Linked DNA regions of Nothobranchius furzeri. The protein of the gene in region 2 interacts with the protein of the main gene of each other region in a biochemical or structural test. Links are inferred from orthologs where the notes say so. Each region holds a gene or a part of one and is shown on either strand. Other genes may lie near its edges.

Evidence for each region.
Region 1: of the proteins of abl1 (region 2) and atr, one has a biochemical effect on the other in vitro, tested with the Homo sapiens proteins (2 studies listed by BioGRID, with this or other methods). The link is inferred for Nothobranchius furzeri from reciprocal best matches to the Homo sapiens genes ABL1 and ATR.

What each region holds. Positions count from the first base shown.
Region 1 is NC_091758.1:22,151,661-22,156,177, reverse strand, and holds the start of atr (serine/threonine-protein kinase ATR), read right to left. Parts: upstream 3,015-4,517; 5' UTR 2,863-3,014; coding exon 2,810-2,862; intron 2,696-2,809; coding exon 2,604-2,695; intron 1,455-2,603; coding exon 1,302-1,454; intron 1,208-1,301; coding exon 297-1,207; intron 212-296; coding exon 84-211; intron 1-83. UniProt on the Homo sapiens protein: Serine/threonine protein kinase which activates checkpoint signaling upon genotoxic stresses such as ionizing radiation (IR), ultraviolet light (UV), or DNA replication stalling, thereby acting as a DNA damage sensor.
Region 2 is NC_091746.1:53,702,871-53,706,689, forward strand, and holds part of abl1 (tyrosine-protein kinase ABL1), read left to right. Parts: intron 1-633; coding exon 634-906; intron 907-1,046; coding exon 1,047-1,131; intron 1,132-1,276; coding exon 1,277-1,454; intron 1,455-2,645; coding exon 2,646-2,830; intron 2,831-2,910; coding exon 2,911-3,063; intron 3,064-3,135; coding exon 3,136-3,225; intron 3,226-3,344; coding exon 3,345-3,473; intron 3,474-3,819. UniProt on the Homo sapiens protein: Non-receptor tyrosine-protein kinase that plays a role in many key processes linked to cell growth and survival such as cytoskeleton remodeling in response to extracellular stimuli, cell motility and adhesion, receptor endocytosis, autophagy, DNA damage response and apoptosis.

The DNA.
Region 1 (4,517 bases), on a different chromosome or scaffold from region 2:
CGGACATATAAACACAATCTCTTAAACATTAAAGAAATGCAGGTTTATGACAAAGTTAAACTTCTTACTCATGTTTGACTCACGCTGCCTTGCTGACTGGACTAACGGCAGATTTGCGGGACTTCTTAGCAGAACTCTCTCCATCTCCCGACTCCTGCATCACTGTCGCTGTCTCAGATTTCAGTGCGGCTTGAAGAAACCCTTCTGCACACTGGAAACCCCAAGCAGTGAGGTGGTAGAAGGAATAATAAATAAATAAAACTTAAAAAATTTAACAATAATGAACAGATTCATACTTCTGCTTGATTTTCTGTCCCAATGGTGGCTGCCAAGGTTCTGCAGACATCTGTGACCCTCTGCTTCCTCAGCAGCACAGCACTCTCATGAATCTCAGCCACAGACAGTAAAAAACGGAACAGCAGGCAAACAGATTCAGTAACTTCTGACCCCAGTTTAACTCCTGCCCCTCCAAGAGCACAGACACACTCAAACATCTGTGAGAGGTAGATGGACTCAAAGTCAGAGGGAGAAATGTGGGACGACTGAAACAAACAGCGGGTTAAGTTGATCAGCTCTCCTCCATAGGGTTGGCTCTCGTTTGAGTGTTTTGCTGCGGATGTGTCGGAGTGCGTTTCCAGCAAATGAAAAAAGGCCGTGAAAAATTTGTGACACTGCATCTCGGGAAACCTCTGCAGCTCTACCAGTTTCCTCAGCAACACCATGGAGACCTTCCTCAGCCTGGTGTTGCCGTTAGCCAAGATGGAGCATGCCGTGTCCCAAGACAAACTCAGGTCCCGACAGGAAATGATTCCTCTCAGAGAGTCACTTGTGATACTGAGAGTCACAGCAGTCAGCGACTCCAAGGCAGCAGGAGAGGAGAGTAGAAGGAGAGTAGGGGTGAGGTAGACGGAGGCACGAATGGAACTGATGCTGAAGCATTGAAGCTTCACAGGCCATCTGTCCTGGATGTGTGCACCCACACTGTGTCCAGGTCCTGCCAGTGTCACTATGTGAGTGTGCAGGATGCTGCTAAGCTCCTGGGTCAATGATATGACTTCTTCGGTGAGGCAGCTGAAGATGAACGGCATCCTGACTCTTAGAGTGTGTAGTAAAGAGCACAATACGGCAGAGACGCGCCCGTGAATGACATCACAGCCTGGAGCTGCTGCCACACGAAGCAAATGCAGCATCACCCATTTACTGAAATCTGAAATCAAGGCAGAATATGAAGAAAAAGACAATGTTATGTTTTTGGCTTCTTCATAATGTGTGAAACTTTTCAACAATGTGTCGTTTAGTACCAGTGCAGCTCTGTACGGTGTCTGGGTAATCAGCAGGTTGGCAGGCAGGATTTGCAAACATCAGGGACGAGGATTTGACGATGTGCTGCACAAAGTCAAGCAGCATCACACATGCTGGCTCTGAACTGGACTTTTTATTTAGTCCTAAAGCAACTTAAAAAAAGAGAAGAGGGCTGTGTTTAACAAGTCTGGAAATCAGAAACATCTCTGAGTGATATTAGAAAAAAATTACAAAAGGATTTTAGAAAATAAACACACACATCTAAAAAAACAAAATGACAATCAGATGTTACTCTCTTAACATAGGTACATAACTGACATGATGTGGGTTTATTTTTACTTCTGAAGATTTTTGACTGATAGTTTTGCAGGTTGTGTTCCAAGATGTAAAAAACAAAAATGACCAGAATATACAGACAAATATGGTTTTCAACCCTTACAACCAGTACTTGACTAAAGAGCAAGTAACCCCCTACCAGAGTCTAACTCCTCTCCCATTTCCTGTTTGAAAAGTGCACCACAAGGACAGGCCTGGCAGACCGAAAGGGCAGAGCCTCTAACACACACACACACACACACACACACACACACACACACACACACACACACACACACACACACACACAGCAGCGTTGTGATATCATAATATACCAGCTAATGTCATAGGGTACCTCTTAACCAATAGCAACGGCAGATGTAAATTCAAATGCAGTGCAGTTTTTACCTGAAGAGGAAGCAACACGGAGTTTTAGGCAGAATATTACAACTTTAATTAAGATGGACTAAGGTGCCAAATTATCCACTGATTCCCCTCTTTCCTATTCATTTTCTCTTTCCCTTTCCTTGCACTTTTAATCACAATTCTAAACTTTTTTCTTCTTCTAATTTTAACCATATTTTCACGATTTTTGGCATTCTGAATTTTTTTGTTCTTGTGAAAGGCCTCAAGATTTTTATCTTGAGAGGCGCTAAGTAAAAGATAATTTTCTTTTTTTCTTTCTTTTCTTACTTGCTTTTTAAATGAATGAATAAATGACCACTATAAAGTTAACAGTTTGTAAAACATTTGGTTTATGTATGCGATGCATTTTTTATTTACTTGTTTCCATTAGGTTTATCAAAAATTGTTTAATACCTGTTCAGGTACAAGGGTCACTCCCCACCTAAGAGCACGTGCTAAAATTATTATTAAAACTAATAACCTTATAAGATCTAAAGGAAAAATAAAGGAAAACGAGCTTTTATTTGGCGCTGAATGGTCTCTGTTGGTTCGGTTTTTGTCCCCCGTTAGTAATGACTTACCGACGTCCACGTCAGTCAGTATCCTGTCAATAAACTGGCAGAGGATCTGTCGAGGTTTCTGCACGGCTGTTTCGTACTCAGCAGCGCTGGCACTGCAAACAGATAAACGATGTAACTTATAAAAAGAGTGATAGTTAAAGAAATAAAGTGAAGCCTCAGTAACAAACAAACGATTAGCCACTTAGCTTTTGGCTAACACTACTCACCTAGCTAGCTCTTGAAGAGCAGGAATCATCGCAGACATTTCAAGCCCGTCCATTTTTCCTCGTCTGCTTATAGTGTCGTCGTTCAAAGCTTCTTTAAGGTACTACTAGTGAGATATAACAGGTTATTTTAGCCAGAGTGCAAGTCAAATAGCTGCCCATCGTGCCAAACGCTTTCGAAAAGTTTCGCTCCAAACTGACGTAGTTTGTTTTCATACGGCACGCACGAAGGCCCAAAATACCAAACAAAAACTCAAAGCCTTCCGAAATTCTCCTGATAAAAAGATTAAAAAGCATGATAGATTGAATAAACCAACGTGTGTTCACATGTCCGGTTCATTTGAGCTAGGCTCTGAAAGAACAGGTGGTATTACAACTCTGCAAATATAATTTTTATGTTTAGTAATCTTTATTTTAAAGTAAAAAAATATCCTGAAAACAAAACAGTGAATTAATGAAAGGAATAAGTTCTGGGATGAAAATTATGTATGCCGTGCACTGTTTTGACATCATGGTTTATTATTGTCTGCAGTGCAGGTTCACTCAAGGTTGTTTTTATAGTTGCAGGCATTCTGCCATTGTGCTGCGTCTGTTAAAAGAGGAAGATATAGGGAGGTGGGCAGAATTATGAAAAGTTCTTGTACTTTGCTTTTGTCATCATGTGCCTGTGTCTTGTTGGACTGTAATCCTTGGTTCTGGGCTCATTCTGTGATCTTCATAGAGCGAGACCCAAACACTATTTATGCCTTTGGTAATAAATAATATGAAAACACATAAGTTCTATCTCTTTATTGTGTAATTCACAAGTTCGGTGAAACATTTCCACCACAGTTCTCAAAACATATATAGATGTTATATATAAAACTAATTAAAGAAATTCCTGTTTGAACGTTTGAGTGCTTGTTTGTCTAAATAAGCAGAAGCTACGAATGATCTGAGACAAGAAATTTACTGAAAAGAAATCATTGACAGACAGAAAACACACCAAAGCAGCCGGAATCTCGCAATAAAAAAAGAATTCACATATTTTTTAATTTCTGTTTTATTAGGCAATATAAACGTGTCAGAGGCAGATATTTTCTCACTAAGTATTGCATTACTTTTTATTAACATTAATATGAAGCCGTTGTTAATGCTTTATTTAATAGCTTATTAATAATACTAATAATGCACATTACGTTAATAAAGGACCCTTATTGTAAAGTGTTACCCGATAAATGTACAATGTATAGTTTAACTGTTGTTTTTAGGGTTATAAATAATTCTAAAGCATTTGTAAATGCTTAAATATTGATTATTTGTAATAAATTATATATATAGTACCTAATACCTTGTAAATGGTCATTTAATAACTTACTAAACACTTATAAACTTATTTGTAAACATAATCACAATCCTTTATAAATTTCTTCGATATGAGTAACTTGAACAGTATCCTTAACTTATTCACAAGACACCAAGAGCCCTCTGAGGACACAAGACTTTTGATCTAATCCTTTTAATAAAGTTTGCTTTTTTGGCTCATAAAATCTTTACTTGACAGGTTGTTACAATCATATTCTGTGGTACCTACAATATGCTTTTAAATCTAAAGTGTTTTAATAATGCTGTACAGTAATGAATGATGGGTTAACATGAATGTTTATTCCTATGATTAATTTCAGATCTAAAATTACACCAGATTTGTATTTTTGTTGAATTTTTATAATGA
Region 2 (3,819 bases):
CACCCATGCTGAGAAAGGCTTAGTGCAGACAGATGTAGCCAAGTATGTCTGCTCGCACATGAAAAAGCAAATGCACAAACACAGACACATGGATATTTCTCCTCTCGCATCGTTTTCCACTCACTCAGTGGCAGGATAACCGATGGTTCCAGTATATCAAGACTGCATATCATTTGTCCAATTAGTTCTATTTTTACGCTTGTGCACATCTTTTAAGGGTTTTTAAGAGTATTCTTTACCTCTGTCTTCTGTGTCCCCCTAGTCTTGCACAATGCAAGCTAATAAAATGCAAAGTAATTCACACGGAACATACTGGCGGAAACCATTTTTAGTATTATGTAAGACTTGAATAATGGAAAAGTCTGTGTCCACTGAGCCCTGACCAATATCCTTCTGTCCACCAGCTTCCTGACAAATGCCGTGCAAGCTTGGAATTGGCCAAGAGCACAACTTTTCCAGTTATAACTGTTTCCAGATTATACCATTTCATTTTGTTTTCAGACCAGACTTTCTAGCACTAGAACGCAGTTAAAAAGTCTTTTTCTTAAATAATAAAGTAAATTTAGATTGTGTTAGTGCTGAAATAATGTTTCTAATATATTTGATTGACTGTAAAAACTCTTCTCCCATCAGCTGTATGTCTCATCAGAGAGCCGTTTCAACACATTAGCAGAGCTGGTGCACCACCACTCCACCGTGCAGGATGGACTCATCACCACTCTGCATTACCCAGCAGCAAAACGCAACAAGCCCACCATCTATGGAGTTTCTCCCAACTATGACAAGTGGGAGATGGAGCGCACTGACATCACCATGAAGCACAAACTGGGAGGGGGCCAGTATGGGGAGGTCTACGAAGGTGTCTGGAAGAAATACAACCTCACTGTGGCTGTCAAGACACTTAAGGTATGAACAAAGGACGGGAGTTAATGTAGCTGTGCCCGGTGGAAACATTGTGAATCTGACTAAATAATGCTGCCATCTGCTGCAACAAAGAAGCAACTGCACCCAGTTTACAGTTTTTTTTCTTTTGGTCAAATCTGCAGGAAGACACAATGGAGGTGGAGGAGTTTCTCAAAGAGGCTGCTGTTATGAAAGAAATCAAACACCCTAACCTTGTGCAGCTGTTGGGTATGTTCTAAATACATGTGCATATGAAAAATTCTCCAAATGTCTCACTAGATTCATTCAACACGGCTGTAACCTTTCATGAAATCTGATTAAGGAGGCATCAAAGTCTAACTTTGTTTTCGTTTTTTATACACGTTGCTGGCAGGTGTGTGCACACGAGAGCCGCCGTTCTACATTATTACAGAGTTCATGACCCACGGAAACCTGCTGGACTACCTAAGAGAGTGCAACAGAGAAGAGGTCAATGCCGTGGTGCTGCTGTACATGGCCACTCAGATCTCTTCTGCCATGGAGTACCTGGAGAAGAAAAACTTCATACACAGGTGGCTAAATTCAATTATAGAACAACTGAAGGGTCATTGATGCTGCAACATCCGTGTGTAGATGGTATTTCACATATCTTTATCCTACTAATGGCAGTGAGTTACCATTACCGTTACCTACAGTGTCAGTGTGTTACATAGAGTCCTATTAAAGGGATACTAAGCAGTTTTGCTTGCTTTTAGCACCCCCTTGTGTCAGTTTACTCTCCTCCTCGCTTTGCGTTCATCTTTTTAACACTTCAATCTACCAGCTGAAACGTCTGCCAGCGGTCCTAAGTGTCTACAGGAGTGATTCATCACTAAATTAAACAAATCAGCTGGGTTCATGATCTAAAACATGCAGGAAACATGATGGAAGCAGACTGCTGCGTCAGGTACCTCAGCTCATTTTTTTCTAAAGTCTAATTCATACTTCTGCATCAGCTCCACAAGGGAGAGACACGCACGCACAGACGGAGACTGTTTGCTTTCATACTTTCCGTTTGCTGGGAAGTGTCACAAAGCAATTCCCCGCCAAGACAACAGAGGGCGTAGCGCTGTTCTGGGGTATCCTTGTGTTAGTTTTATTTCATACTTTTACACGGGCAAATTTGTCCGTCGTTCTCCTCCACCTCTTCATGCACTCACCACCTCTAAACCCATGTTTCCCGTCATTTCCGTCCACAAATTAAACACTTGCTGCGCATCTTTTCACTCCTCCAGTCACGGGGGAATAAAACGTTCATATTTTTAGAGTTTTTCCACAAAGTCTTCTTCAAGCTTCTCTGTGTCTGCCGCTCGATATCCTCGGCTCTCTTTGTTTTTGAGGGCGCAGTGGTGGGGTTGTAGACGACAGCAGCGTCCTAACCAATCACAAGCTTGCGTTCTCCGTCTCGTCGAACAGATGTTTAGAAAAAAGCTCAACTCCGCCTGTCCTTACGAGGGATCTCCAGCAGGCTTGCGAGGATGGATAATGACGTTGCGTGTCTCCGTCCCGGCGCAGACGAAGTCTAAATTAGACTTTAGTCCCAGCAGACCGGACCAGCAGCTGTGATGTTGCAAGTACAATATTCTGGCCACAGGGGGCAATAGGGGCTGGGTGGCCTTTCATTAATCCTGTAAAGGGTCATTTTAGCACATACTGGCAGAGGAAAATGATTTAAAAATATGAAAAAGTTGCAAATTGTCCCTTTAACTAGTCTTTATCCTCAGGGACTTGGCTGCCCGCAACTGTTTGGTGGGTGAAAACCACCTGGTGAAGGTTGCAGACTTTGGTCTGAGTCGCCTAATGACTGGAGATACGTACACCGCTCATGCTGGTGCCAAGTTCCCCATCAAGTGGACTGCTCCAGAGAGTTTGGCCTACAACACATTCTCTAATAAATCTGATGTTTGGGGTAGGTTTTCTTATTTTTTTATTCCCCTATTACATTATCTAACTCTTCCTGTAAACTCTTTATTTTTGTCTCTTGATTAGCATTTGGTGTGCTGCTGTGGGAGATTGCCACCTACGGCATGTCTCCTTACCCTGGCATAGACCTGTCACAAGTCTATGAGCTGCTGCAAAGAGACTACCGCATGGAACGACCTGAAGGCTGTCCAGAGAAGGTCTACGAGCTCATGACAGCTTGTGAGTACAAAAATCCAGCCATTTTCTTTTCTTCAGGACATGTTTTGATGCATATTCCACTTTTCCTGTCAGGTTGGAGGTGGAACCCTGTGGAACGGCCAACTTTTGCTGAAACACACCAAGCCTTTGAGACCATGTTCCAGGAATCCAGCATCTCTGATGGTCAGTGCTGCTTCTTATCATCAGAAAAACAATTAGTGTTGAATTATAGATATCCTAATTAAAAGAAACGAATCACAGTGGTATTTGAAAATGTTAACACATGATCTGTGTAATTACAGAGGTTGAGAAGGAGCTGGGGAAAAAGGGGAAGAAGACAACATTAGGCTCCACCCAGCAGGCTCCAGAGCTGCCCACCAAGACCAGACCTTTCCGCAGAAACACGGAAAACAGGGACAGAGACAGTCCAGGTGGGATGCACGTCACGTTCTCTGGTTGCTTGTCTTCTTTATGGTTGATTTATCTTTTTAGTTCTGGTTGGGCTTCAAGGTGTTGGACTTATTTCCACTTTCGGAACTTCTGGGTAATTTTTTACCAGACCTTCACAGTTTTTTTGCGTTGCTCCATTTTACTGGGCCGAGCCGAAAGGACTGCTTTCTAAGCCATTCAGTGGGAAATAATTCTATCGGTAGACGTCACCAAACAGCTGGTATTTAGAAATTGGAAGGGTTTCTGGTGAAGCAGAATGGAAGAAAAAGAAAATAAGCCGCGTTGGTACTGCTTTAAAGTTGCTGTTTCTAGAGTCCCAATGCCAAC